Linked DNA regions of Lytechinus pictus. The protein of the gene in region 2 purifies or fractionates together with the protein of the main gene of each other region. This does not show direct contact. Links are inferred from orthologs where the notes say so. Each region holds a gene or a part of one and is shown on either strand. Other genes may lie near its edges.

Region 1 (10,298 bases), on a different chromosome or scaffold from region 2:
TATCTGAGTTTGCTATGCACTGTTTATTTACTTTACCATTATGAGTGTGTGTCTATACAGAGATTTTAAAAAAAGTCCACACAACCTGGGAACAATACAATTCTTTTATTCTCTTTCAATCATTTCATATTTACAATGATAGAACAATTTATATATTACCACAAATCAATTAGCAAAGTAAAATAACAGCAAACAAGATTTACATACAAGATGTACAAAGTGAAAGTAACTTAGTGGTAGTGGCTGCAGAATTAATATTTTATTCATTTTTTAATCAATGTTTTTCTTTATATTTTTCGGGCCACAAAACTTTAATATCGGGCCACTATAAAAATTATTTGAAGGTTTTGGTGGCCCGAACGGGCCACCACCAAAAAAAGTTAATGTGGAGCCTTGTCATATGTATAATTTTTTTATGTATTGCTACTTACCGGAAAGAGCCCCGGTGCGTAGCGAGAAGGAGTTTCGGCAAATATTACTTCAGCAATGAAGCGATGTTTGCCGACTACTTCGAAATCCAGGGTCAAACACGGTCCCTTGTACGACTGTTAGTATATATTAAGCTTGTAACCGATTTTGCAATCGGCAACCGATTCCATTCGATTTCACAACAATCGGCGATCACTTGCCGATCTTCGATCATGCCCCTTGAAGGAAAAAATCGGATATAAAAAAATCGGCATACCTGTAGACTAGATCTAGTTACAGTGCGGTCAGAACATATTTCAAGATTGTTCTTGCAGAGGTGCTAGCTATTTAGAGCTTTTTAACAATCGAATAGTTCGAACAATCGAGATTCCTAGAATGTCAGAAATGACTCATAAAAGGTTGACCTACTTATGATGACCTACCGGTAGCTGCGCTGACTGGTATGGCGGGAGTGTAACTTGGATTGAATGTATTGTATAATATACAAACAATGAACATGTACTTGTACTGTGTTTGTCATTTATCCCGCCCATGAGTGCACACAATGGCCAATAGCAATGGAGTTTGAGAGCTGTATGTGACTGCATGGGTGCATGAATGTGTTGTATGCATTATGTATGCTAGTGCTTATGCTGATAAATCCCGCCCATAAGTGAATACAATGGACCAATAGCAAGGGAGTTTGAAAGCTGTGTGTGACTGCATGAATGTGTTGTACGCATTATGTATGCTAGTGCTTACGCTGATAAATCCCGCCCATGAGTGAATACAATGGACGAATGACAAGGGAGTTTGAGAGCTATGTGTGACCGCGTGGGTGTAGGAATGTATTGTGTGTATTACGTATGCTAGTGCTTGCGCTAATTTTTGTCATAATCCCGCCCATGAGTGCACACAATGGCCAATAGCAATGGAGTTTGAGAGCTGTATGTGACTGCATGGGTGCATGAATGTGTTGTATGCATTATGTATGCTAGTGCTTATGCTGATAAATCCCGCCCATAAGTGAATACAATGGACCAATAGCAAGGGAGTTTGAGAGCTGTGTGTGACTGCATGAATGTGTTGTACGCATTATGTATGCTAGTGCTTACGCTGATAAATCCCGCCCATGAGTGAATACAATGGACGAATGACAAGGGAGTTTGAGAGCTATGTGTGACCGCGTGGGTGTAGGAATGTATTGTGTGTATTACGTATGCTAGTGCTTGCGCTAATTTTTGTCATAATCCCGCCCATGAGTGCACACAATGGCCAATAGCAATGGAGTTTGAGAGCTGTATGTGACTGCATGGGTGCATGAATGTGTTGTATGCATTATGTATGCTAGTGCTTATGCTGATAAATCCCGCCCATAAGTGAATACAATGGACCAATAGCAAGGGAGTTTGAAAGCTGTGTGTGACTGCATGAATGTGTTGTACGCATTATGTATGCTAGTGCTTACGCTGATAAATCCCGCCCATGAGTGAATACAATGGACGAATGACAAGGGAGTTTGAGAGCTATGTGTGACCGCGTGGGTGTAGGAATGTATTGTGTGTATTACGTATGCTAGTGCTTGCGCTAATTTTTGTCATAATCCCGCCCATGAGTTCACACAATGGACGAATAGCAAGGGAGTTTGAGAAATGTATATGAATGCTGGGTGCATGGATGTGTTGTATACTATGCTAGTCAATGCCCTGCTTAAATCCCGCCCATAAGTGCACACACGGCCTAGGTACGAATAATAGCAAGGGAGTTTGAGAGCAGTGTGTATGGATGTGTTGCGTGTTGTATGTATCATGTAAGCCATACTTGCAGTGATATATTGTCATTAATCCAGCCAGTGAGCCAACTCAAAGAATAGCACTGTTAGCAGTGTCAATTAAACCCACCACGTGCACATGCCAAAAGGTAGTGTAAAGAATTTTGCGCTAGCCCGTTGAGTCTGGGCGGTTCCAGTTCTCGGCTATGCCACAAAACTATCTTGTATTGTGTGAATGCTTGCGCGCATTGCGTAATTCACTGATATTGTTGAGTGGGTGGGTATACAAAAAGATCGATACTGAGGCGTGACTTAACTTTTCCCAGAACTGATTCGGAGAAATGATGTACCAAGTAAGCTATTATAACAAAATGGGTGTACTTTGGAATGGTTATTGGGCGTGGCTGTAATCACATATTATAATGAGCGAACTTAGCTGAGCTCAGCTTCACATAAAAATTCTTATAAAAGATGTCCCGCCGATCGTTCATTGACCTGTGATCTACGAGAATTATTTTCCTTTGCGACTGCTCGGAAGATGCGTCATTCGTTTATCTTTCTAATAAAAATCACTCATTTTATTGTTAAGCAGTTAAACCTCAAAACCCTTTAAAAGCATGTTCCAAACGATCGCGCATGTCGACTACTTCCATTCCTAAACATTCGTCTTTGTGACTTTGTCAGGAAGATGCGCGCGACCGCGAACAAAATGTTGATGTGTTCCTTTGTTTTTAAACATCGCCGATTCGATTTTCGATTCGATTTCGATTTTAGAAGCTTAACTGCCGATCCGATTTTCGATCTGATTTTTGATCCGATTTACAACATTAGTATATATAGTCACGTATTGTATTACTGGACACTATTATGATTCCGGACGCGCATATTACTGCGTTCTAAAACAAATTCGTACCGTAAGACTTCCGCAATTCAATTTCACAGAGCAATACATAGAACAAGATTGCAAAAACAAGGCGAAAAATCAAACTTTTACCTAATTATCTCTAAAAATGACAGAAAATGCTTCAAATATCATATAACATAGTTTTGTATTAACAATTGATATATTTTCTAACGGAAATATGGGCCTGATTTGCCGAATTTCAATCTCGTCCACTCCTTCGATCGAATGATGAGGTGTGGTGTATTGTGGGTGATCGTCGACGGCTAGTTCTCAAGGTACCCGTGCGCGAGGTTTACCGTGATAGCCGTCGATCGGCAGCGCATCGATAGAACTTGATGAGCGTCACGATACGAACGCGAGCATATTATTATTGGAAAGTGCCATGGAACATGCAGCTAACAAGACAAAATAAAATAAGTTATCAAACACAAATTTATTACCAACATCTGCTCAGATTCGATATAAAAAAAGCAAATAATACTTAGAATTTACTCATGATATGATATAAGAAGAAAAAAATCACAAAAATTTGTTCTTACATCATTAGAATCAAGGATATCTTTGCCCGTCCGGCGCGCGTCCGGAATCATGATGTAATTTGTCGCGCACGAAAATAATTGTTTTTCGTGGAGGGGTAGGCCCTATGCGGCAAGTGCGATGCAAAGAAAATGGTTGGTAAATATAAAATAATTTTATCATATTCATAATTTTCATAATATTTGGAATAGCAAGTGTGAATATTTCTTGATTGTATTTCCTCTAGTTGTCATTTTTAAAGCACTGAAATAAAGGTGTCCGGTAATAGGATACACTGCCATACTAACCTCGTATTAGTGTGAGTGTAAATGGGCCAACACTATTTGCTATAAATGGGCCAACACATTACACCAGGACAAGGCTTTCCGTTGATAAGGCAGAAATAACGTTAGATTTCAAGGGCAGATAACAAACTAAAATTGTCAGAATCTGCATGGATATATAAAAAAGTAGAAATAGCTTACTCCACTATCTGCCATATCTTCCCAGCTGTCCCATACCTCCTCTGAATCTTCCATTTCCGTCAAAAACAAATTCGAGTCGTCAACAAGAACTTCTTCTGCCAATGTATGTATACGGTACCGGTAGGTGTTGCCGAAATATCCAGTAGCAAAGAAAAAAAAATCTTTCTCAGACAGTCAGAGTGAAAAGCGAAAACCATAGATAATCTATCCTAAATAAATAAATAAATATGATCCGATGTTCCCGTTCTCAGTAAATGAAAAAGTACGTTTCTCTGGCGAATCCCCCCCCCCCACATTTGCATTCACGTAAAGAGGGATTTTAATTATAGGGGCTCCAGCTTTCCCGAAAATATTAATAGGGCCCGTTTACCTTAGTATTATTTTCTCCAGAAATAACTTTAACTTTTTTTTTAAATAACTTTGATGGTTTCTTTTAAAACCTTCCCAGAACAATCCTAAAATTTAAGGGATAATTTTCTAGCTTTTATTCCAAAATGTATCTCAAAATTATTCTTTTCACAGTAAAAGTTTTTCCAAAAAAATTTGCTGGGAAGACGACGATAACATTGTCAGGGTTTGTAAGAAAAAGAAGAGAAAGGAAAAAAATGTACAGAAAAGTAAAAAAAAGGAAAAGAGAGAAGAAGGGGAAAAGAATAAGAAAAGAAAAGAAAAGAAGAAAAAAATGAATAAATGAAATAAAAGAAAAGAAAAGAAAGAAAGGGGAAAAATAAGAAATAAAAGAAAAGAGGGAAAGACAAAGGAAAAAAAGGGGAAAAGACAAAGAAGAAAGAAAGATTGACAGAAAAGAAAACAAAAAAGGAGGGGAAAAAATGAAGGAAAATAGAAAAGAAAAGAAGAACGAAAAGTAAAATAGAACGAAAAAAAGATTGAAGGGAAAGAAGATCATTTCAACAAAAAAAGAAGCTCCAAAAGCAGTGGTAAGAAATGTTCATTTCTTGACTGGTTGCCAACCAAAACCAAACAAGAAGTTTGTGTGCGTGCGTGAGTGTGTGTGTGTGGGGATGTGCGTGTGGTTGTGGTTGTGTGTGTGTGTGTGTGTGTGTGTGTGTGTGTGTGTTAATGCGTTTGTTTGTAAAGTCTCAACGTTTAATGTGGCTTAAACGATTACTTTACGGAGAACGAGATGCAGGATGGAAGTTGTATTTTGATTTTTGTTTTCGATCAGTTGGGGGGAGATTTCTGTTTCTATGTGACTTTGACACTTCAAAACTAAATATAAAAATGCCCCCATTTTATTCAGAAATGATGAAGGCTTGGCAAGACTTAAGGAGATTTCGTTATTCTGAAGAGGAGGTTAACCCTATTATATTCAATAATCAACATATTTGTATAAAAGGTAAAACAATTTTTGACAATGATCTTTTTAATAAAGGAATATTTAGCGTTGATCAAATCTTTGATAATGGCCACTTGAAGCCTGTGACTTTTTTCAAAATCTCGGTATTACCGCAAATCAACTTCTCCAAATAATAGATATTGTGCACGTTATACCAGCAAGCTGGAAAAATTTTAATAGTTTAATAAAGTTTTAAAAAATTGATTTGGTAGACTTTGGGATAAGTATGAATATTGGAAAACAAGAAACAGCTTTTGAAGTAATTAAATCAAAAACAATTTATAACTTGTTTATTACTAAGCTACAAGAGCTATACAAGTTAACACTTAAGGACGTTCCACAGTTAAAGTGAAATCCATGTCATTTTCACCAAACTTTGCAAATAGATACTTTAGAACCTTAATATTCGAAATATGCAAAAATTAACATAGGTCCATGTGCTTGATTTTTTGCTATAGAGCTTCAAAGTTCACCCAAATTGAAGTTCTTAAGAAATGCGCATTCAAAAGAATTTGGCATTTTTAGACCGCCCAAGATTAATACAATGAGTTTAAACCTCCATTACTCAGTCAAAATACATGAAAAAGTCATCAATTTTCGCAAGAGAGTTAATAATTGTATCGTTAGAATGGAGAATTTTTTTTAAAGTGCTATTTGTTTGCAATTTTAAGTTTAATAGCACTGTCAGTTCTTAAAAATGGCGTAAAAGATAACAAAATCCCAATCTAAAAAATATAAAATTTCAGTAACAAACTACAAACGTACAATAAATGCTGCACTTTATTTAAAATCCATGTCATTTTCACCAAAATTTGCAGAGTTGTAGAGGAAGGTATACCTATGAGGTACAAACATTAAAAAATAGGGGTTCATGTGCTTGTTTTCAAACTATCAGCATTTTTATTAGAGAAAATGTGCTTTTTAAAACACCAACAATGCGCCGAATGCTTAGTATCTATGTGAAGAAAAAATCAAAACCACTCTACCATTTATTCAAACTCTGGGTAATATTTGCGATTCTTGGCAGCACTGCAGAGTAAAGTATTTTGAAATTGTAGAGAACATTTTTTGAATGGTCCATGGAATAATTCAATTTTTTAGCTTTATGAAATAACGCATCGTATCTGCAGTTAAAGTGCAGAAGATTAGAAAAATCAGCTCATACCCGCAGCTAATTAATAACCTGTTCATCCATTGTGACGTCAGCGCGCATAGTGTAAAATATGCGCACACCATAATGCGCACAAACATAACTGTGGAACGTCCTTAAGGATGGTCACAGTGATTTTGATTTTACTGATGTAGAAATTTGTAAATTATTTGAATATATCAGGAGTACAACTCTTATAAGAAAACAAAGGGAATTTCAGTTTATGCTTTTACATGGAGCAATATATACAAGAGAACATTTGATGAGATTTGGTTTCGTGGAAGATAATTATTGTTCGTTTGGTTGTACAAAAACTGAATCGTACTTTCATATACTCATGGATTGCATAAAAGTTAAACCTCTTTGGCAATTTTGTATTGATCATTTTTGTTTAGCTGAATTAAGAACTTTGAATTGGAGGGAAATATTCTTAGGGTTACCTGGAAATTCTTGTAGAATTAAATGTGTCAATTCTGTTATTCTTTTTATTAAATATGCAATTTTTAATTCCAGAGCTGAAGGCCGGGTACCGTCATTTATTAAAATACACAAATATATAACGGGTTGTATAGAAGAAGAAAGAGGCCTGGCAACGAAGTCAGGCAAGTTAAGTTTACATTTGCAGAAATGGGATGAACTGAAGGTGAAAAGGGATTTGAATGTGAACAGGTGGGATGTGTCTAGTGTGGTGCGAGTGTGAATCCTGGTGTGAATGTTGATGTTTTTTTTTTTCTTTTTACTAGTTCTTTTCAATTTCCCCTTCTCTTGTATCAATATGATTTGCAGGTTTTTTTTCTTTCTGTATCCTATTGCGCCAAAATGTTAAACGTTCATTATGCAGATTTGTATATATTATGTTTGTTTACGTATGCGTGGTATGTGCATGTGTGTAAGGGTGTTAAGGTGGGTGTGTGTATAATTATGTAAAGTTATGTTGAAGCTTGATTTAAAATGGGATGCAATGATAATACATTTAGGTTGATTTCTGTTTTCCTGCAAATCATTTATATAGCCATTTAACATTAATTATTATTGAAATACATAGAGGGTTGGGGACTCAGTTGAGTTATTTTTTTTTTTCAGATATAAAAGTATAATTTTAAGGAGTTTCATTTCGTCCTTATTTGCTTCAGTTCTTGGTAAATATATATGTACTTTTTTTGCATATCCTTGTTGATATGAAATGAAGATTTGTATTTTTTTTGTATTTATCTGCAGTTTATGTAATTCATTTGAATGAAATCCTTAATAAAAAAAACATATTGAAAAAAAAAAAAAAGTTTGCGTTTATGTCTGCAGAAGAAGTTTGCCTTTTTTTTGATAATACAGTTTTATGTTTTTTTTATTTTAAATTTTGTTACTATCTTTTTGGGCCATTCTCTACAAGCAATTTGCTTATCAACTATTGTTTAAACTTTTTAAAAGTATATAGTTTGAACAGTGTTTACAATTTTTGTTTAAAAGAATTGTTTAAAATTATGGGCCTGAACAGCGAGCTTAAAGTTTTAAACCGCAATTGAATAAAAAAATAATAATTTGCTCTTTATTTGTGATTGCGCAATGCTGAAACCACAGTATAGAGGTCTGTCGCTGAAACCCGGCCTGACGAAAGAAAATAAAGATGTAAAGCAGTCACTGGCCGGAGAGCATATGGCGGGATGGCGTGTCCTGGGGAGTGTTTCATGAAAGGACATGTCGGACGTTTTATCCGACAAGTCCCATTTTATCAGACAGTTACCATAGTTGCAGTGCTTGTCAGCCAATCAGAATCAAGGAAAGTTGTCGGATCTGACAACTTGTCAGACGAAAATGTTGATGAAACGCTCCCCGGGGCGCGTCCCCTACTTTTCGAAACATCATCAGGGGCCCGTTGCAGAAAGCTTTGCAATCAAACGCAATTCTATAAATCATCGTAACTTTATTTTTAACCAATTAGAAGCGCGCATTAAAGACTTAAGCTTGATAGTTTGATTTGCGTTTAAACGCAAAGTTTTTTTTTTTTTTTTTTTGCATCGGGCTCCAGTTTTATATTTTACCAATGTCTCTTATTTCACAGTAAAAACGCTTTCTAAAATCTTTTATTCAACACTGAACTTTACAGTATTTGTTTCACAGTGTAAAAGGATGTTTATAATTTTAAACAACCATTAATAGATATTTAACTTAGTTGTATAAGATTTAAACTGTTAAAAAACTTTTGTAAAGTTTAATTAGTAATTTTATATAAAAAAAACTATTGAAAATTGCTAATGTTGGAGACTGTCTAATTATTAGTGGCAGGTCGTTCCAGGATTTTGAAGCCGACACCGTAAAAGTTCTGTCACCAGCTAATGTACGAGTTAATGAATATGTGAGGCGAAGGTGATCACTGGCCGACCTAAGTGCTCTAGTTGGTGTATACAGATTCAAGCAGTTACTTAAATACTGTGGAGCCTGTTTATTCAGTGTTTTGTAGACAATCAAGAGTAATTTGAACGTAATTCTCTGTTTAAAAGGAAGCCAGTGAAGAGAATTAAAGAGTGGTTGGGAAGGATGATCTCGGGAAACCTGTAAAATTAATCGTGCTGCCCAATTTTGTAGTCGTTGAATACGAATTAATTGATTAGAGGGAATTGTAGAAAGGAGCCCATTGCAATAATCGATACGAGACAGAACCAATGAACGAACAGCATTGTGACAGGCAGACTGGTCAATGAACCTTCTGATTCTAGAAATGTTCCAAAAGTGACTGTGCTACAGATATGAGAGATATGGTACGACATTGACATGCGGGAATCAAATATGACACCAAGGTTTCGTATTTTTTCTGATGGTCTAATGAGTGTACCATGTTTAGAGCCTTTTTATTGAAGAGTCGAGTTTCTTCTTGCAATGATATAAATTAAGTAACCCCTTTTGAATTAAAATATCAAAGTTACCTTCAACGCCGTTCATTATGTCGTTTTCACATCTGACAAATTGCGAAAAAAAAATTGTTTTTGTTTTTGTATTTTCTTAGTCGTTCTTACGACTTACTTACTCGTTCCCTCGAGTTATGAAGTCGACGGAACGAGTTATGGTATAACGAGTAAGTAAGTGCATAGTGAGAACGGTTATAAGTCAAGGGGACGAGTTATAAGTCGGGGGAATGAGTTATATAAGTCGAGGGAATGAGTTATATAAGTCGAGAGAATGAGTAGAGGGTACTATAATATAGGCGGATCCAGAGGACCGAGGGGCCCGCCCCCCTCTATTGGCGGAGCAAAAAAGGGGGGAAAGGGGGAAAGAAAAAAAAATAGAAGGGAAAAGGGAGGAGAAACTAAAAGAAGGGGAAACATAAGAGGAGGAAGACGGGTGAATAAAATAAGATGAGGGCGATGAGGGTAAGACTTGGAATATAATAATAACAAAAATCTTTCATGTCACTATATAAAATTTTGCTGGCGCTTCGCGCTGGCATTGGTCATTTGCATATCTTGCTTAATATATGGAGCTTAAAATGTCAAATTTTTTAAAGTGAATATACAAAAACATATTTCAGCTAATGCTTGGAAATAGAACTTTCATTATTTTGTTTGATTCACAAATTGGTTTTTAAAAGGTGCTCTGTAAGAAATATTGTTTTATGGTCTGAATATTAACATTTTCTGCTCGCGCTGCGCGCTCGCAAAATTTGAATCGTCAGGTCTATTATTTTCCTGTATTCCATAAAGTTCTCAAAATATCCC
Region 2 (10,188 bases):
TCCATGTCCAAATATCCAAGATGGTTTGCAAAAATGGAGTATAAAATGTTTGTCGTTAATTACAAACCGACATAGTTTGTTTAATATTTAATCGCCTGGAGAATATGATCTTTTAACTAGTATAAAGCATGGTTTAAAGGGTCAAGTATTAGACTGGGACAAGTTACAAGGCCAGTTAGTGGTTCCAGTATGTCCAAAAATCCATGATGGCTCAAAAAATGGAGTCTATATAGGCCGTTCTTACCGAAAAATGACATAGTTTGTTTAATATCAGCCTGGGGTATATGATTTTGGGGTTTAACCCATGGTTTAAAGGGTCAAGTAATAAATTAGGACAAGTTACATGGACAGCCAGAGGTCCAGCATGTCCAGGAATTCAAAAAGGCTTCCAAAATTGGAGTCTAAAATGGCTATTATTACCTAAAAACTGACATAGTTTGTTTAATATCCGCCTGGGGTGTATGATTATGTTGTCTAAACCTTGGTTTAAATGGTCAAGTAATACATAAGGATAAGTTACAAGGGCAATCAATGGTCCCGTATGTCTAAAGATCCAAGATGGCTTCCAATTAAGGAGTCTTAAATGGCTGAGCTGTACTTAAAAATTGACATAATCTATTTAGAATCCATCTGGGAGATATGATTTTGGTGTCTACACTACGGTTTCAAGGGTTAAATAAGTTTTGATTAGTTACAATGGCATGAAGCTGCCTATTTTACCTATTATTTAAAGATCGCTTTCAAAATGAGTCTAAAAAGACTTCCATCACCTAAACATAGTCATAATTAGGTGAACAAAATCTACACATTTGTGGTTTGAAGGCTGAAATAATAAATCGGGACAAATAAAAAGAAGGGTCAGTTTTTCTTTTTGTCGTAAAAAGTCCAAAGCGACTTCTAAAATTGCGTAAAAATGACTTATGTCCCCTAATCTTGAAACCATAGGATGGTCCTAAGCACATAAATGACATGTTTTGAAATACTTATAGTGAATTATGGAACTTTTTAGGCGAAGTGTACCTTAGTTTTTAAGGTTTGTGTTTCGGATGAGTCTTAAAAACAGAGACACCAAAATAGTGGCACTAGATGGGATATGAAGTACTGTCATTTTTGTATTAATGGTGGCCAATTCGAATGTAATTTTTGGAGCGTTCTTCATTTTTTTTTACAAAATGACGGTGTATCCATGTAATTCGTTTTCTCCTATATCATTTGAACTTTGAAACCATGAGGAAGACACAAAAATGTTTCTAGGTAGATAGTATATGCACTCAGTGCAGCTAGATTTTTAAGATATAACTATTTTTAGGCCATCATCACTTTTTTTGCAAAACTGCACCACTGATAAACCTTGAAAATTTTCCGATGTAATTTTTTCCCTTTGGAACCATGATTTTTTTTAATGTTTTATATCATTCTCGGTAGACCCCAAAGGTATTTCTACCAGGTGTATATATTATGAATTTGGACCATTTCAAAGATACAATGTCCAGACGTCCATTATAGACGTCAGTCTGGAAGGTCATCTTGGATTCGCTGACACACTCACTATCTTGTAAACCTGTCTTCATTCATTATTTGCCTTGAAAGCTTTTTGGTGGTTTTGATTTTAAGGATTTACTTTATTTTTGGAGTTGATGGTACAACGGCTGCCGTTGTGGACGTCATGCTGGATTTCCATGTAACCTTGACGACCTTTTTTAACTATACTACCTGTCTCAATAGATTATTTTAATCCTAACATGCCTAAGTTTCATGAAAAAGACATCTATATCCTACAAGTTATGACATTTCAAAAACTTAACCCCGGTTAAGATTTGATGTTGATTTCACCGCCGCCATGGTCATCGCCGCCGTCGGAAAAGCGACGTCCATGTCATGCTTCTGCTGTGCAGGCAAGGAAAAGATGGCGGACACGTTAAAGATATCACAATGTGAGTATGCCAGCATCGCCCCCAAATTATCAAACATTTGGCCATATTATTTATCAATCAGCAGCTGTGAATCATGGCAGCCATCTTGAAATTAAAGATGGCTGACGAATCATTTAATCGGAACCATTATGTTTGCAACCCTGGGTATTGAAAATTTCGCATAGATCCCAATTTCTGAAATACAATCACCCATAAAAATCGTTTAATATGGGAAATTGTTTTAAAAATACCGCCATTTTGTTTTTTTGCCGATTTGAGGATGAAAACGTCGGAATCAAGTTTGGCAAACAGCATTTTTGGATTCAGCACCCCTGAATTACCTTAAAACGATTGATAAATCAGCATTAACACAAAATGCCTAAAGCACTTTTTCTGAGCATATTATTTAAAATCTGGACCTGACTACCAGTAAAATTTTGAATTTGGCAATTAAAAAAAAAGGCCAAAAAGAGACAAGAATATGAACGAAATATCCCCATTACAAATAATGCTGTACGTGATTCTCATGAGGGGGGGGGGCACATAACTAGTATTAATAACATATTTAATTCCAAAATGTTTACTATAAATCTCAAAAGGGGGAACGGGCAGAAATGCTCACCCCAACCCCCCCCCCCCCCCCCCCCCCCCCCGCCACTGATTCCAATCAATAATGACTTTTCTCTGCAATACTGATGCTTTGAAATCAAGATACTGAAGATTGATACGCTTAACATAAATGTCTGACAAAAAGATAACCAACCGATCACCTGACCGATCAGCTGACCAGTACGCGTATCACTTCGGAGTTGATCACTCGTCGCAGCTGTGTGGAACGCTCACCGAAAATCAACAAAAAGGGCCTGAAATGTAAGTTTAACAATAATCGATTTTAATTTCAACTATTTTTACAACTAAATAAAGGTTTGCCGTCCGAATGAAAGGTATATCGGATAACTCTAACTTGTATTAAGGTGTACATTTACCAAAGTCTTGGGTTGGAAATCAGAACAGCATTGTCCAACCCATAATTTGGGTAATGTCGCCTATGAGGTCCATACATGTTAATGTTTGGACCTCATTGGTACTAGGAGTGGTAGGATGGGGGATCGGGTGTCCGGACACTTTATATTTTTGAAGCCTTCTTTTTTGTCTTAAGATTTCACTAAAAATATGAATTCAATAGTTGTAATCATCTTCCATTTTGTTCTCTATAATATTTTCTAAAATTTTGTACTAAAATTTGATGAAACTTCGCTTGTAATTTTTTCCAAATGACTTTCTAAAATTGATCGTCCGGACACACAACCTGTCCGGACACACAACAACTGGGTATACTGGTAGTAGGGTGTCTGGAGAAAAAAAGTATTTTTCTTATTTCAAGAAAATATTACATTTTCTTTGTGAATTTGAAGAGAAATGACCTTCAGACTGACAGAAATGTATAATTTTTGAAAAAAAAACAATTATTGGCTGCAAAAAAGAAGAATGAAATTAGGTAAATTTTCAGCATTTCTCTGCCATAGACTGTGTAGTTAAGAAATGGACACACACAAATCCAAATTTTTAGCTTCCGAGAGCTGTTATAAATTTATCATTAATGCCAAAAACTTGTCCATAAAGAGTCCAATAGGATTTTTTATGCTCTATCTGATGGTATGATTTTTATAAAGATTTGGAAACCAGATCACAATGAAAAATTGCGACAAAGTGAAAAAAATTGTGCAAAACAGAAATTTCATTTTCCCATTGAAAACGCATGGAGAAATGGCAATTTCAACACACACAAAAATAAGGGTTTGCAATTTATCTCTAAATCCTTATTTAAAATGATCATATAAACTTGTCCTTACTGTCAAAAGAAGCCCCTGAATGTTCTCTTTCCATACATGCCAAACACAAGTTAATAATCAATTCAGATCACATTTTTCTAGTAGCCTGAACTTCCCCGAAAAAATGTGCCATATTTTCCCCTAAATTAGCCCGTTTTATGCTGACACTTTTCAGTGTGGCTTCAGACACCCTACTGGTAGGCCTAGGCCTAATTCTGCCTTTTTTTCTGGGCAGGTAGGCCTAACTCTTCTGTAAATTTGATGTTTTCAGCACATTTACTCTTGAGAATATAATGAACAATACTTGTGGAATTTCAAACAAATTCATGCTAAGAAATTCCCTTTTTCATGAGTTTAAAATAAATGCGAAGACGTGCGGCCCCATATGTCACAAAATAAAAACAACAAATTTTACAACAGCTGGGACTAAACTAAAGTAAAGTTAAGACAAGTTCTGAACGAAAAATTTTGACATTTTTATAATAAATTTACCACCATACAGGATTGATTAAAACGTCTCTTTCATTAATATTGGATTAATTATGACAATTTTTTAATAAATTTACTCCTCAGCTATTAATTACACTTACCAATTTTTCAATTAAACCAGTAAAATTGACCGGATTGCCCTCTTTCTTCGGCTCTGCATCTGCTCCGCTTCTTATTTTTAACATAGACTTAGAGGGCGTTGAATTTAAAGGACAAGTCCACCCCATAGAGCTAGAGATGTATACTAATCATAGAGATATATACTAATAAGCGTAATTAGTATACATCTCTATGATACTAATTAATTACGTATATATCTCTATGGTACCCCCAACAAAAACTTGATTTGAATAAAAAGATAAAAATTCAACAAGCATAACACTGAAAATTTCATCAAAATCGGATATAAAATAAGAAAGTTATGACATTTTAAAGTTTTGCTTCATTTCAAAACACAGTTATATGCACATCTCGGTCGGTATGCAAATGAGGGAACTGATGACATCACTCACAATTCTTTTGTGAAATATGAAATATTTTGATTTTCTCGTCATTGTCATGTAAAATGAAGTGTCATTCCTCCCTGAACACGTGGAATTACATTATTTGAACATTTTGTGCTTCAGGCAAGGCGGAGGTCCTACAATCATCAAATTCGTAAAATTGAAATATTGTATAATTCAAACAATAAAAAACAAAAGAAATAGTGAATGAGTGACATCATCTACTCTCTCATTTGGATGTTACTGGCTCGTTCATATAACTATTTTGTTAAAAATAAGCGAAACTTTGAAATTTCATAACTTTCTTATTTTACATCCTATTTTGATGAAATTTTCAGCATTGTGCTTGTCTGATTTTTTTCTATTGATTCAAATCAACATTTTTCTGAGATGGACTTGACCTTTAAAAGAGTATGGGTTGAATGACAGTAAACTTTGACAAAAAGTTTATTGTAAAACTATTTCAAAAAATGATAATAAATATTGGCGAAGGTTTGAGGAAAATCAATCAAAGAGTAGAAAAATTATTAGAATTGTAGTTATTTGATTTTTTTTTATTCGAGCAAATTTAGTACATATCGTATATGGCAAAAAATCAATGAAATGTCATTTTCAGAAAATTGAAAAGGGGTAACCCTATGGGTTAATTGTACCTTCGGTATGGCAATAGACTAATAATTTCTCTTCCGTTTCTAAAAAGAAAACAAACACATTACGGTCATCAAGAACCACTGAAAATTTTAAATTCATGCATTTTAGTAATAACATATTGGACAGCTATATAGCTGCTCGTTTATGACGTCACAAATCCAAAACATAAATTTGTAATACCTTTCTTAATCTTTGAATGAATTTTCTTCAAACCTTCATTGACTGATGTGTTTTATTATTTTTCTGCTAATTTTACTACAAATTTCTCTCCAGTGTGAACTTCCCCTTAATGTTCAAAATAATTATCGGAATATTCTTTTTGACGGCCGCCGTTTTCTTCAAATTCGGGAACGAATATTCAGAAAATGAAAAATCTCTGAAAGAAATATATTTATTGGCTTTCTACTGCCTTCATGTCATCCTTGTGCTGCAATCGCCTTTTACCATTGATCCAATGCATGTACTGTAACTATATGTTAATTTACACTTATTGTAAACCTATATCTGATATAATGCAGAAATGAAAGCGATCAATCAATCAATAAAGGGAAGAAATGCTACGCCCAAATATATTGCTTCACCCGACCTACCAACCAAAAAGTTGATTTTTTTTTTTACTGATACTTGTTTTCTAAAAAATATGACTCAAATTAGAGGAATCACTCACCGATAATATACATGTAAGTGCCGGAAACGAACATTCTTTTAACATCTTGAATCTGCTGAAATTATTTCTATACTGATGATAAGTGATCAATTGGCATGCATCGATATCATAGTCTCATAAAGTATTTGTAAAGCGCCAAATCCACATTGATTATGTGCTCAAGGCGCTGAAATTTACTTGGTATATTATTATATTATATCGTTATTATTATATCGTTATTATTATTATCATTATTGTTATTATAAACATCATCATCATTATTGTCGTTATTATATTACTTTAAAAAAAGTGTTTTATTTTGAAAAAGGCACCTTTATTCCTATGGGGATTTTTTTTTTTTTTTTTTTTTTTTTTTTTGGGGGGGGGGGGCAAGTGCCCTTGCCCCCCCCCCCCCCCCGTTCCGTCGCCCCTATTCGAGTCGCATCGCCACCGACGTTTTACTCACAAAATCAATGGAAATGTCAGGACAATGCCAAAAACGAGGTCGCCATCTTTATAAGCTTATAGCTTAATCGCTCGATCGATCACGGGCAAAATGACTAATACATTTTTTTGTTGATAATATTTTCATTTTTCTCAAAATTATTATTGTTACATACTACCCTTGAAAATGTTATATTGCACAGACTCTTTTGTCTCTAATTTCAATGCAGAAATCAAATCAAATCAAGTAAAAAAAAAAATGATAAAAACCCCAAAGGATTACGACCTGCGTATACGGTTGTGCTGAGAATTTGCTCCTGACTGCATCACGAAGAAGGATATTACCCTTTCATTTGATTTTCGCATCAATGACACGTGTTACAATTTCTGAGCCCAAAAAAAATAAATTGTTTTTTGCTGGTTACCGGACAGGGCCATTGATTGTTTCATGAAACAAATTGCATGATACTGGTCAAAAATCCTTTCATATTTCCTGAAAAGTCTCAATAATGTAATGGGGCAAGCCCTTTTCACGATTTACCACATATATAAAGACATCAAGATCGACAATTGTGAGAGTAAAACACAGAATATATCTAGAGGTAAGTGGGGTGGGGGTCGCATAAGCCCCCAAGTTTCAAACTGTATATGTAAAAATGGGGATAAATTACCGATTGTGTTTGTATGCAGCCCCCCCCCCCCCCCCGCACACAAAAATACCGTTCTGCAGCAAATTACTATCTTGACAAAATCTATAGATTTTAATAAATAGAATAAAATTCGACAAGCAAAACACCGAAATATTGATCAATTGATCAAATTCCCTTCAGCTCACAACATGGACAGTTTAAGAATAGCGTTAATACATATTTAATTAGCTTGATGTAAAACCTTGTATAGGCCTACTATTAATCTAATTATGGTTTATTACGTGGCAGTCATGGGCCACTTAATTTTCATCATTAATGGCAACATCAGACCCAAACGGAAAAAAAAATCCGGAGCTTGAAAACCCAGACTTCAGTGACCACTGTCTTGGGCAACCTGAAAACATATAGCTGTTTAAGAGTATTTTTTTTATATAGCAATTGACCCTTTTATTCAGACATAAATATAGCCTTTTTGTTGTTCTGCTCTGAAGCGCCTTGAGTATCTAATCAAGATTGAAAGTGCGCTATCCGGGTGCGCTATACACATCTTATGCATTATCAAATATTTTTCGTCATAATGAATCTGGAATAGGTGGCCTATTTTTTTTTCAATTTTCTTATCTTACATTATATTCACAGTATGTGTTAAACTTGTCTCTGAACCTTTTACAAAAATAAGCTTCAAATATATGAAATAAATCATATAATTCAATCCTGTTTTACTTTCTTGGAGGAAAAAAATGAATAAATATAATTTCATGGCCCCGTTGTATAAAATTTATCATTATGGTAACTTTGTCATCCAATGGTAACTTGCATGGAATCCTTAATTTTGGTTGGCTGTTGATTAACGTTACCTAATACCTTGGTAGCCCGGCATGGTAAATTGGATGGCAAAGTTACCATGATAATAACTTTTATGCAACGGGGCCCGACAAAGTAAAAAATAAAAGTAAGTCGGGATATGAAATCATCAGCCTGTGAACTTACTGTTCACCGACCTTTTATGTATTTATTTAAACAGTATTAATAGGACGCTCTGTTTGTCCTCTTTCTCTATGTGTTTTATTTTTTTATTCAAAGGGGGTGTAATTTTTTTTTCTTCCTTTATCGTTTTTACATTAAAGAGAAATTCCAGTATTTGCAGTAAACACTGATTTCATGAGAAATTAGTCTGTAAAACAAGGCTTAATTGTCAGTATATCATTGAGGATCTAGATCTGGTACAGTTACATAAACTGAACTTTGTGAAATCTTGAAATCTACGCTGAAAAATGTTCAGACTGAAGATCCCCAACACAGATAACACGTGGGACAGTGTATAATTATTGCTTTGAATGTCGGGCCCGGCCGCCGCTCTACCCGAATCCTGTGCTTATTTGCTGATTTCTCAGCAATTACACAATTTCTTCCAGAATCCTTTGGCACATACGTTTTATTTATACAAACAGACACTTTGGTGGTCATTTGATTTCATTGGATTCTGTACGAACTCATTTTGATATCGTTACCAAAACTAGCATTGACCTTTAATTTGCGACACTTCGCGTTCCATACTACACTGGTTCGCCGGCTGCTCGATTCCCAGGGGCCTATTGCACGAAAGGGTCTTTCCAAGGACCGTCTTTCGTGTCGCCCATCTTTTATGATGCGCTATAAGCGGGGTGTTTCTGAAATTTATTATAAACAAATACAATTCGTAAGCTTGCTTTTAAATCAAATTTATACAACTTTGTGAGATATCACATCATTTTATAAACAAATAGTTTGTTTACTTTAACGGACGAATAAAATATGTTTGCAGATAATTTATTTGAAATGCGTTTCACATGGCGCATCATAAAAAATGGGCGACACGAAAGACTGTCCTTGCAAAGACCCTTTCGTGCAATCGGCCCCACGTTTCTTCTTGCTTCCGATCTGAAACCACGGAGAAAATGTTACTTTTCAAGGAAGCAACACGCAATATTCAACGATTAAAATATTGCTGTAGATTGCTGAAATTCCATGAAATTCCAACACGTTATAAAAGTGGGAGATACAGTGACACGTTGAATTTGCCGAACACTTCTTTTGAGCTGTGGGGTGCAGCAAACAGGGAGCAGTCAGTTCAAGCGGTACGTTGCTTTAATTACACCCAGAGATCCGGGCTGCTTTGCCAGGCCTAAACCGGGCCGGGAGCTTCGGCCCGCTTCGCGGGCCGGAGCCCAGGGGCCGATTGCACGAAAGGGTCTTTGCAATTGCAAGGACCGTCTTTTGTGTCGCCCATCTTTTATGATGCACCATGTGAAACGCATTTTAAATAAATTATCTGCAAACATATTTCATTCGTCCGTTAAAGTAAACAAAATATCATAAAATTAGGGCAGTAGAGGCGCACGGCCAATATGGGAGACTCTCTCCAATAGGGGAGACAATGTCCCACATTGGAGACTTGCTTTGCAAAAGGACAAAAGAAACAACACCAACAAAAGCATGATTTTTTCCACCCAAAGTTTTGTCTCACTGAGGTCAGAAGCCCATTTGTTTTGTGTGTGATTGACAACAAAAATCCTTATCAAAACAAAAGTAGACGGTGAATTTTTAAAGTAGATGGTGAAAAGGGGTAATTTGTCATGAGGAATCTGCTTATCACATTTTTATTTGCCGCCAAGGTAATCCTTTTGCAGCAAATGTAAACAAAGGAAATTGGTCTCCAAAACTGGAGACTGTCTCTGAAATTAAATACCCAAATTCTTTACAGAAGTCTCTGATATTGGAGATAATCTCCCACATTGGAGACAGTCTCCAATATTGGCCGTGCGCCTCTACTGTAGGGTGTCCGGACTCTGGAGAAAAAAATTATTTTTCTTATTTCAATTGTTGTTGTTGTTGTTGTTCGTTGTGGGTCGTTTCCACACCCAAATGATCTCCTAGTAGGCACTTCAGTCGGGCGGGCGATCGCGCGGACACAGCGCTAGACGTAGATTTTTGCATTGCAGTGAATGGCGAGAGCCTATCTAACACACACAGTTCGCTCCGCTCGGCACTTTGGCCGAGCGCTGGAGTTGCATTCGGCAT
Region 3 (11,066 bases), on a different chromosome or scaffold from region 2:
AAAAGTAGCCCCCGAAAGGTAGAAATGGAGCCCCCGAAATTTTACAAAAAATTAAAAATGGAGCCCCCGAAAAAAAAAATTAATTTTTTCCCTGGATCAGAACTATCAAATTTCACTTTTCATCTATACTTTTAAACCAAAAACAAAAATTGTATCACACATCTACCTTACTAACAGGTATAAAAACCAGGAATTTACTTTTAGCCCGGCAATGCTCAAAAGAATCCTAGAAACTAAAAAAGGGGCCCTGGAAACTCCCATTCATTACAATGTTAAGCTTATCAAATGTTGCAGATTCAGGCAATAGGTTGGGAAAAGTACCCCCTCCCCCACGAAAACCGAAAAATAAAAAAATACTTTTTGTCTGATACAAACTAGGTACTTGGTAAGTATGTACATATGCAATTTCACAGTAATTTTTTTTGCATGATGGGAATGCAACTTTCTTCATAATTTTATATAGTATTCCTTGTGAACTATACCTTTTAAAAGTCAATAGCAAGCTCCTTCTGGTGTGATTTAATTAAGACAGTGAAAGGCTTAAATAACAAGTATACAATATTTCTTCACCATAAAATTGACCAAATTTGCATTTCACTATTGATAATAATGTTTTATCATGGTAACTGACATTACATCTCGGTAACTGACATTACATTTTCCACTTGGTAACTGACGTTACACATATTTTATGGTACCCTATGGCTTGATTGTTAATTATCTTTTATTTTGGTGTAGAAGGGAGGGGTGTTACCTAAGGAGGAAATCTGGGAAATGAAAAAAAAAAGTTCATGTTTTTGGTAACTGACGTTACATACCATATCACATACTTCATCAACATTTTTTTATCAGATAAATGAATTACTGGTGATTCTTTTTATGGGATTTTATAAAAAGTTATAATAGCAAGCTAAATCACGGGGGAAAATATCATGATCAAACCTGTTCTTTTAATATCTGTCAGAACAAAATATGTATCAATATACCATTTTCAACACTAATTTGTATCCATACTCTGGTGGCCATTTTGAAATAAAAAATGGCTGCCACAGTTGGAAAAAAAAATTGTTCCAGAAACTTCAGGTCTTGTATTATTAAAAAACATAAAGCATTTGACATAAATATCAATTTGATTTTTTTGCCTCTGTGTCCATCTGTGGTGAAAATGCCCATAAGAGTCTTGCATGTAAACTTTAACGTTGACCTGAAAATTACCTTTGACCTTACCATGTGACCTCCGACTGCAGCATAACATGCAGGTCTCCCAGGTCTATCTACCATCCAAGTTTGGTTGAAAAGTGACTTACGGTTGCAGAGTTAGGTGTCATAAGAGAGTCTTGCATGAAAACTTTAACGTTGACCTGAAAATGACCTTTGACCTTACCATGTGACCTCCGACTGCAGCATAACATGCAGGTCCCAAAGTCCATCTACCATCCAAGTTTGGTTGAAAAGCGACTTACGGTTGTGGAGTTATATGTCATAAGGTTTGTGACGGACGGACGACATTTGGATCCCTAAGTCTCGCCTTCACCTCTGGTGGGCGAGACAAAAAGTTCTTCTAATTAGATTCATTAGCCTATCTTTAACTGAAAGTGCTGGTCAAAACTAAGCTTTGTGTCGTCTATCACTCCTAAATCATTACTAGTTTCAACTTGTGATAGATTACATATATGTGAGGCATTATCATGTGTCATTGTATAGTCATTAAATTCATCATTCTTTTTACCTATTAAAACTTATCCGGGTGGAACTTTAATAGCCACTTGTCAGACCGTGAAACAAGACAATCTAAGTCCCCTTCTAATACATGTAACTCAGCATCTTTATCATTTTTTTCATGCTTGTATACATGTAACTTGGTGTCATCTGCAAATAAATAAACACTACTTGACAAAATCTGATCTGGCAGATTATTAATGTACCTTACAAAAAGCAGGGGTCCAAGTACACTCCCTTACGGTATTCCGCTGGTTACATCAGCCCAGTCAGAGAACACACCATTTACACAAACACAGTGCTGTCGACCAACAAGAAATGACCTGACCCACTCACATTCTATGAGCTTAGATAGACCTATGCCGAATCCCTCAATTTCGGCTAAAAGTCTCTTTGCAAAACGATCATGCACAAATTAAGGTTATGATGGTGGTCCCACCTAACGATTTGAGTTAAGATTTAACATTAATTTCTTTTTATTTCACAAAATCTTTCAATTAATTATGTTTCTTATATTATCATAAGTAAGTGTACCTAATATCTCATAAAAATTTGAAAGAAATATAGGATTTTCTTGGAAAGAACCTCAGGCAGTCATTTTCAGATTTAAAAAAAATGTACCCCATGTCTGCGCACCCATTCACTTTGCACACGATTCAGGTATTTTGATGAGAAAGGCTGCATTTTGAGGCCGTCACATGAAATGCCCAAAACTCATTATTTTCCCACCATTTTGAGTCAGATTTTTTAATGAACATCCACTGGTATGTGTTGCATGTGTAAATTTTGTGTTCGTTGCGTATCTTCGACAGTGCAAAATGAGGGAGACACGGGACTGGGGTAGATTGGGGTCTCAATAGTAATCTTAATAAAATGTGGAAACAGAAATTATGCACTTACCACGATTATGTGGATGAAAGTCTATGGTGACACACAAATCTTGACATCGAGGCACAGACTGGAACCTAAAAAAAAACCAGAATATAGCCTCGCTCTCGATCGGCCATTTTGTTTTGAATTTTGAAAGAATGAGAGGTATAGCGACAGAACTTTTCAGGTTTTTTTAGGTTCCAGTCTGTGCCTCGATGTCAGGATTTGTATGTCACGATAGACCTCATCTTCATCGATATAATCGTAGTAAGTGCATGATTTATGTTTCCACATTTTATTAAGATTACTATTGAGACCCCAATCTACCCCAGTGTCTCTCTCGTTTTGCACGGTCGACTCCTGGGCTCCTTTTACTCTAGAATCAGGCAGATAGGCATGTACGCAGACAAGGGGGACTACACAGACGTAGACTTGTGCTTGGGGGAACTTGCCATACACTTTTTTATGATACTTTTTCAGCTGAGCATGCACTAACGTTAGTCAATTGTCATGGTCATGGAATTTTGAGATCATGATACCAGCGAAAAAGGCTTTAGTTTGGCCTTGTCCATGTTGACCTGGCTAGGATAATTCGGTCAAGCGAATTTGACTTTAAGTTTAGCTACCTCGAGCGAAGTTCGTGCAGCCTCCACTCCACTTCCGCTACACTACACTCCACCTGTACATGAACTTCGGGACCGTGGACTCGATCTGATATTCCGAGTGACAAAGGTGGGATCAAAAAGTTATTTATTGTAAAAATTAAAGAAAAAATATATAACGTGAAAGAAAAATAGCTTAATTTCTTACTCTACACCCGTATTTCACTCTGTGTCCATCCTCCGGTTCGCCTCAAAATTGGTGAAAAATATTCCACTGATTCGTGGAATATTTTTCCAAACTCTTAGACTTAGAATATTTCTGGTATTTTCTAAGCCATCCAATATAATATAAATATTTATGCTGTTTGACCTGCGACCGATCGCATGCGATGTTTTGAAATTGGCAGTGAATAATACGTGTGAGGAATTAGATACTGGCCCAAAATCACCAATTTCGAGGATAACCGGAGGATGGACACGGAGTGAAATACGGGTGTAGAAGTTCGGGTAGGTGGAGTGTAGCGGTAGTGGTAGTGAGGTGGAGCCTGCACAAACTTTACTCGAGGCACTTGTTCACTGCAACCACCCTGCCTGTGGGGAATCTACAGCCTACAGGTTGGACTATGGCATGCCAATGCTGTAAAGAGCACACACTTTAAAAAATGATTAAAATATTACTTTTGTGACCAAAATTACTAATTTCCATACAGTTGCAATTTATTTTTCATTTGTAACTTGGGAATAATTTTTGTATTCACTAGAGCGCTCAAAACCTTGAATTTTTGGCATATTTTTGTGTTCGCCCTCTATTGGTGGAAAATAATATGGCAAGAAAATTTTCTTTTTTATCTCTATTTTTAATTAAGAAAAAAAATAATTTAAAGAATCAAATTTACTAAAGCCAAAGGGCCAAGTTGTAATGACGAATAGGTGTAATGGAAACTGTCAGTGTAAAAAAATCAAGCATTTCACCATTTGTCCCAAAGAAAAAGAGAAAATAAGCCAAACATTGCCATCCTTATTTTGCCACACATGGAGATATAATTATAATTGAGAACGAGGTTATATCATAACCTTGTTCATTGATTGAATGAGTGACTTGAGGTAGACTTAGTCTTAGTTTAAAATTAGGCAAAACTAAAGTAAAGCTTCATTCAGTCTCTGTATTTTGGTTGTTCCGCTGAACTGCGTTGGCTAACTTGGCTCACTCACCAATACATGGGGGTGATAGTAAAATGTCAGAAATTGTTAAATAAATCCACAGAAACGACGGTTATTCCTGTCTAGCTTAAAACCCGGCTTTAAATTAACGTTAATCTATTGCAATAAACGCCATGATGAAAGCTACATCAGCTAGCGCCGAATTGGCTTCAAACTCAAAGTTCAATCACTGAATCAGACTCAGAGAACAAGAAAAATAGTCTAGCCTCTGTTAGGCCTAAGAAATAACAAATCATTTGTTTCGAAAGAACAGAAGAAGTTCAAAATTAAATAGTTTAAATACTTTAAAAATATATTAATCTAAATTTGAAGCAAAGGACGTAGAGTCTATTTAATTCAAAACAAAACTTCAATTTTATTTTTCTCACCTCAGGCTCAACACCGCACAACAGCACTTGTGCCCTCGCCTCCGCCATTTGCATTACTGGAAGCTTGTGCATCACGCGCGCGAGCGCGTACGCGTGCGAGGCCGAGGCAGAGCTAGGAGGCCGAGGAGGAGGGGGGGGGGGGGGGGGGGGTGCAGCCTGGGTGCAGCCATAGACAAATAAATCATCATCATCATCCGTTAAAGTACAGTCCACAGCATATAAAAAGGAAGAAAGGGAGCCAGGACTAGGAAAAAGCTTGAAGGAAAGGAATTTGGAGCAGAAGCAGGGGGAGGGACACATGAAGAAAATTTGACGAGCAAAAAAAAAAAGGTTTTCAACCAGAAATTATTTACATTAATTTCATCCGGCCACGTGGCAATTAGCCTCAACCCCCCGGACAAGGCCCAGCGACACATATAGGCCTACCCAACAACAAACCAACCAACCTATGTTCTATATTACCACTATACTGAAAATATAAGGTCAAATACATGACGAAAACCTTTCATTTGAAAACACTATACCCCAGTTTCCCTCAATCAATTCTCTTCTCCAAGTACGACCATGGACCTATTGGTACGACAAACCATAACTGCCCCAAGCAAGCAATTTAAGTATCAAAACACCTGTTTCTTGACCTCGGTCCGAAGATAACACAACAGCCCGAGCAAAGCATGCCGTCATTTTAATTCACTTACTTTCCTTATTTCGAGGTCGATTTTCTTCGTTCGAACTTGAAAATGGACTAACATTGGATTTCTGAATACAATATGCATTTGAAAACGTGATTAAATATCGAATACAATAATTTCATTCCGAAGGTCCTACTACAGGCAGAGAAGTCTTACGTAATAGCACAGCTGTTGTTTATCATTTCGTCCTTGGCTCAACGCTCATAATCTGGCCTGTGGAGGTAAAATTGAGACAGCGGGGATTACCTGGCCTAGCGGGATTGATCAGGCGGGTGTTTCATAAAGCTGTTCGTAAATAAAGAGCGACTGGTGATCCTGTCTTGCGGTAAATGGTACACACCATTGGCGAAGATCTAGCGCGCGAGAAAGGATCACCAGTCGTTCTTAAAGTCGCTCTTAACTTACGAGCAGCTTTATGAAACGGCCCCCTGGGCTTGGAAATGATTTTGGGATTTACAAACGCAAAATGGGGTATAGAACCGCAGTTTGCAATCTGAACTGCGGTCTTTCTCCAAACGGGGGTTTGACGTAATGTAGGCCATCTTCCGCCTATTAAATCCTCCTGGTGCCGCCCGGCCTGATCAAAAAGTTGCTCGATACAGGTGTAACAGTTTAAAAAGAGTGAACATGGTGAAGATGGTAAAAGTTATCAAGAGAATAAAATCGAACTTTCATTATTTTGTGTGATTTACAATTTTTTTTTAGTGCTTTGTAAAAATGTCAGTTTTATGGTCTGAATGTTACCATTTTCTGCTCGCGCTGCGCGCTCGCAAATTTCGATTTATCAGGTACCTATTATTTTCGTGTATTCCATAAAGTTTTCAAGATATCCCTTTTCAGGTCCGATTGTCAAAACGTATCAGCTAGCGCCGCACACTCACATTTTGATTAGTGAGTTATGTATGTCTCAATATTGATTATACAACATTTAAACTATGACAGTGTATAAAAAATTTAGGCTCGCATGCAATTTGAGCCAGCATTAATGGTTATAATAAATTAACTGATGCATCCTATTTATAACTATATAAAAGTGCTTGAAATGTCCAGTTTTCAGGCCATAATATCATCAGATTCGCGCCCTCATTAGGCATTAATGAATAAGATATTAATTTAATAATTGAATTGTTCCTTTTGTTTCATCTCGCGCTTAGCAAGAGGAATAGGAAGACAGTCATCATTTTCATATGATGACATGTCCTAGGGATGTCCCGGTCCTATGTCAAACCTCAAAGTGATTATAATGAAAAATATCAGCTCTATATTAAGTGCGATCCATATCCACCTCGCAATTTTCCTACAAAGTGCTTGAAATATAGAGCTGAAATCGACTCTTTTTTCAGATCGGAATATCAAATAGTTTAAGCTCGCGCTTCACGCTCGCTTTGATTTTCATGATAAAAGATGAATTTAGAATGCCTATATTCTAGGTCTAAATATGAAACACGCACGCGCATGTTTATTCAGATACTCAACTTGTTCTCTATTTAAATCATTATCCAGTTTAAGATCACAATATCAAAAATTTTCTGCTCGCGCTTTGTGCCCGCATTATTAGGAAGATCCCCTATATTACTCATTCTTTTCATGATTTACAAAACATGAATAGAATGTCCCGTTGTTAGGTCTAAATCTCGATTTTTCAACAGCTTGCGCTTCGCGCTCGTATCAATTGTTTAGTTATATAGCTATCCTGTTCATGATTACAAAAATTGATCAAAATTTTCCATTCTTTATGTAGAAATGTTAAAATTTTCAGCTCGCGCTTCCCGCTCCCATTATTTGATTGTTGAAATGTGGCGTCATCATGGCTAAGTGCAAGCAGATCGAACTTAACAGGTACCTTTTCAATCAGTTCAAAACGTATTTACGAAGATTTCAAGAATAATTGGTTGTATCAGACAGATAAAGCAAAATATTCCGCAAAATATATTAATCATGTTATATAATGCATTAATCCTGCCACATATTGATTACGGTATCATTATTTGGGGTAGAACTAGGAAGTGCAATATTAAGAAAATACAAAAACTTCAAAACAAGTATGCTCGTTTGATTTTTAATGCTGATTTTTCAATACCTTCCAATGTTCTTCGCACACAATTAAACTGGCAAAACATTGTACAAAGACAACAGTATCAGACCTACCTCATCATGTTTAAATTGATTAATGATTCAGTTCCAACATATTTAAAGGAAAATATTGTTTATCGTGATATCAACTTTCAAACTCGATATGCACATTCTTGCCCATTAAAAATCAAAACACCTCGAACAGAGTATTACAAGAAATCTTTGCATTTTTTATGGTTTAAATCTATGGAACAGTTTACCCCAGAATATGCAAACTATAACATCTTTTCCCATATTTAAGAAACAATCTAGAATTTTAACTTTTAACTCTGAATTTTAAAAAGCAGTATTAACTTTGATTTAATGTAAATATTATGGTTGTGTTATTTTAGATTTAATTTAAACTTAATATGAATACTCTGCTTGTATGTGATTTTACTTTTTTAATTTCAATTTAATGTGATTTTACTTGAGTAAATATTTGTAGTTAAGTATATAGTTTTAAGTTTTCTGTGTGTAAATTGTTATTTATGTGTATTTGTTTTTTATTGTACAGGGCCCATTGGTAGAGCGGTTTTGTAACTGAAAGGGCTACCCTGTTGAAATAAAACGGAAATAAATAAATAAAATAAAATATTTAAAAATTTTCTGCTAGCGCTTTGCGTTCGCGTTATTAATGTAAGGAAGATTTGTTTTGATTTGATTTATTTATTTCCACATTCCAAAAAAAGCATATACAAGTGTAATCATTTTTTTTCTTAGCATAACATAATAAGCAAATGATATAATTAATAACATATGCATAATATACAATCTAATTGAAATATACTTATACCTGATAAATTTCTTCTTTTTTTATTGTTAAAAAAAAATAGCAGAAAAAACAAATATATATATATATATATATATATATATATATATATATATATATATACATATATCAACAATAATACATTTTGAAATGTGGGAGACCTTCATCTTAAGCTTAGAGCTTGAAATTGATAAAGGCCTCAAAAGGAAAGGGGAAGGAAAATCAGACAAATAGTGCATTAAAAGAGACTTATATTTTATTGCACAAAATAATAGAAATATTACCAAAAAAGTAGATAGGGAAAGAAAAATTAAAATGAGGAAGTTATAATCATGTTGATAAAAGTTAAAGTGCAAGTGTGCGAGAGTGCAAGTGCAGGGGAGGGTTGTAATATCGGTTGGTACGTAACACACATAAATTTTAGGTATTATATTTTAACGGTGTATTTCTCTTCAAAACAGCCTTGAATGAATAAAGTGTAGAGCATAACTTAATTTCAGGTGACAAATTGTTCCATAAATCTGCACCGTAATGTCTAATTGATTTGTGTGCTATTATTAGTTTTGGATTTGTGAGATGAAATTTGTCAGAGTTTCGTGTTGGATACGAGTGAATGGTGTTGTTGATTGTGAACATATTTTGAAAGGAAGGGGGAAGTATTCCCTTTTTGTATTTGAACATGAAGATAGCAGCTTGATATGTATTTATATCTGAAAGTTCTTAATTTAAAAAATAAAGGACTAGATCTAGCGAGATACTGTGATCCTGTACAAATACGAACTGCTCTTTTTTGTAAAAAGAAAATCGAATTAAGTTTTGTATTACCACAGTTACCCCAAACTATGTTGCAATATGATATGTGAGGGAAAACCAAGACATTATAAAGAAGAAAAAGAGTTTTGGGGGGTAATAAGTATTTTAATTTGGAAATGATCCCAACACCTCTGGATACGGAAGTGGTGATATGGCGTAAATGATTATTCCACGATAAATTTTCATCAATAGTTACTCCTAAAAACTTTGAATGTTGTTTTTGTTGTAAGGTGACGCTGTCAATGTTTATCATTATTTCTTCGTTAACTGCATGGGTATTATAATGTTTAAAGTGCATAAAATGTGTTTTGTTTACGTTTAAAGACAATTTGTTGCATTTGAACCAAGTAGACACTTTACATAATTCATCATTTAAGATCCCCAAGTACTCATCCTTTTCATGATTTACAAAACATGATAGAGTGTTTCGTTCAGTAGGTCTAAATCTCGAAATTTCCGCGCTTCGCGCTCGCATCAATTGTTTAATTATAAACCTATTCTGTTTAAGTTACAAAAAGTGCTTAGAAAATCCATTCTTTGTGTAAAACCTCAAAAAATTTTAGCTCGCGCTTTGCGCTCGCATTATTTGAATTTTAAAATAAGTAACGTCTTCATGGCTAAAAGTGCATGCAGTCTTTAACAGGTACATTTTCCATCAGTTCATTTCTGCTCGCGCTTCGCGTTCGTAGTAATTATTTAGTTGCATACACATCTTTTTCAGGACAACAAAAATTGCCCAGAATGTTCAAATTTTAGGAAAAATACATAAGAATTTAAAAAAAAGTAGCTCGCGCTTTGCGCTCCCATTATAATAAGGATTATGATATTATATATTTATGTTGATTTATAGGAATAAAGCTAAGAAATGACTATTAAACTACCCCTTCAAAGCAGTGGCGTAGCTAGGATTTTTTTCCTGGGGGGGCACTGGGGGGTCCTTGCTTTTTCAGGGGGGGGCACAATTTTTTCCGGTGTGTGTGTGTGTATGCACAAGGGCGGATCCGACTATCGCCAATAGGGGACGGGGCCCGAAATTATCTTCACCTACATTTTCCCCGATCAGTCACTTCTTAGTATTATTCTTATAAAACAACATAAACATGAAATAATCTCATAAGCCTTATAAAAAGTGCGAGCGCGAAGCGCGAGCGATTTTTTTTTTACTTTCATGTATTTTGTCCTGAAAATTTAATATTCTGGGAAATGTTATGTATGATCCTGAACAAGATTCGTATGTAACTAGATGATAACTGCGAACGCCAAGCGTGAGCAGAAATTTATATTAACTGTTCTAGCATTGTCAAAAAGGGACCCTTTAAGGACTGCTTACAGTTACCCACGAAGACGGTATATATTTCAATAATGGGAGCGCGAAGCGCGAGCAAAAAAATTATATAGTAACATGAAAGATTATTTTTGCAAGTCTTCCCCTCACGTACATTATTTCATTCACTCCTCTTCCTCCTCTTATTTTCCTTTTCTTTTTTTCTTTTCTTTTCTTTCTCCTTCTTTTCTGTTTTTCTTTTCTTCTTTCTCCCTTGTTTTCTTGTTTTTTTTGCTCTGCCATTTTTTTTCAGGGGGGGCACCTGGGGGGGCACACCAAATCTCAGGGGGGGCACGTGCCCCCCCATGCCCCCCCCGTAGCTACGCCACTGCTTCAAAGAAACAAAAAATCTTCTTCGAGCGGCCGATCGGGGAAAATATGGCTAAAAAAATTCCACCCCGGCCCCCCTATTGGCGTAGGCTGGATCCGCCCCTGGAATAGATGAGAAAATGTTCAAAATTTAAAGCTGTTTTGGAGCACTTTGCAGCTTTAGTAGGATGCTTATGACAATTACTCCGTACCTCCCCCTTGGTACTGGATCTGGTCTAGGACGTCAACATTACAGATGGCCAC

What was found.
Region 1: the proteins of serine-threonine kinase receptor-associated protein-like (region 2) and SUZ domain-containing protein 1-like purify together in Homo sapiens (co-immunoprecipitation; 3 studies listed by BioGRID and IntAct, counting the BioPlex papers as one, with this or other methods). This does not show direct contact. The link is inferred for Lytechinus pictus from reciprocal best matches to the Homo sapiens genes STRAP and SZRD1.
Region 3: the proteins of serine-threonine kinase receptor-associated protein-like (region 2) and cold shock domain-containing protein E1-like purify together in Homo sapiens (affinity purification with mass spectrometry; 3 studies listed by BioGRID and IntAct, counting the BioPlex papers as one, with this or other methods). This does not show direct contact. The link is inferred for Lytechinus pictus from reciprocal best matches to the Homo sapiens genes STRAP and CSDE1.

Annotation. Positions count from the first base shown.
Region 1 is NC_087258.1:17,652,889-17,663,186, forward strand, and holds the start of SUZ domain-containing protein 1-like, read right to left. Parts: upstream 4,195-10,298; 5' UTR 4,139-4,194; coding exon 4,085-4,138; intron 1-4,084.
Region 2 is NC_087263.1:1,586,838-1,597,025, forward strand, and holds the start of serine-threonine kinase receptor-associated protein-like, read right to left. Parts: upstream 4,449-10,188; 5' UTR 4,336-4,448; intron 2,777-4,335; exon of another isoform or gene 2,677-2,776; intron 1-2,676. Other genes in the region: isoleucine--tRNA ligase, mitochondrial-like, read left to right, coding at 8,958-9,245. UniProt on the Homo sapiens protein: The SMN complex catalyzes the assembly of small nuclear ribonucleoproteins (snRNPs), the building blocks of the spliceosome, and thereby plays an important role in the splicing of cellular pre-mRNAs.
Region 3 is NC_087247.1:53,964,207-53,975,272, reverse strand, and holds the start of cold shock domain-containing protein E1-like, read right to left. Parts: upstream 4,866-11,066; 5' UTR 4,781-4,865; intron 1-4,780. UniProt on the Homo sapiens protein: RNA-binding protein involved in translationally coupled mRNA turnover.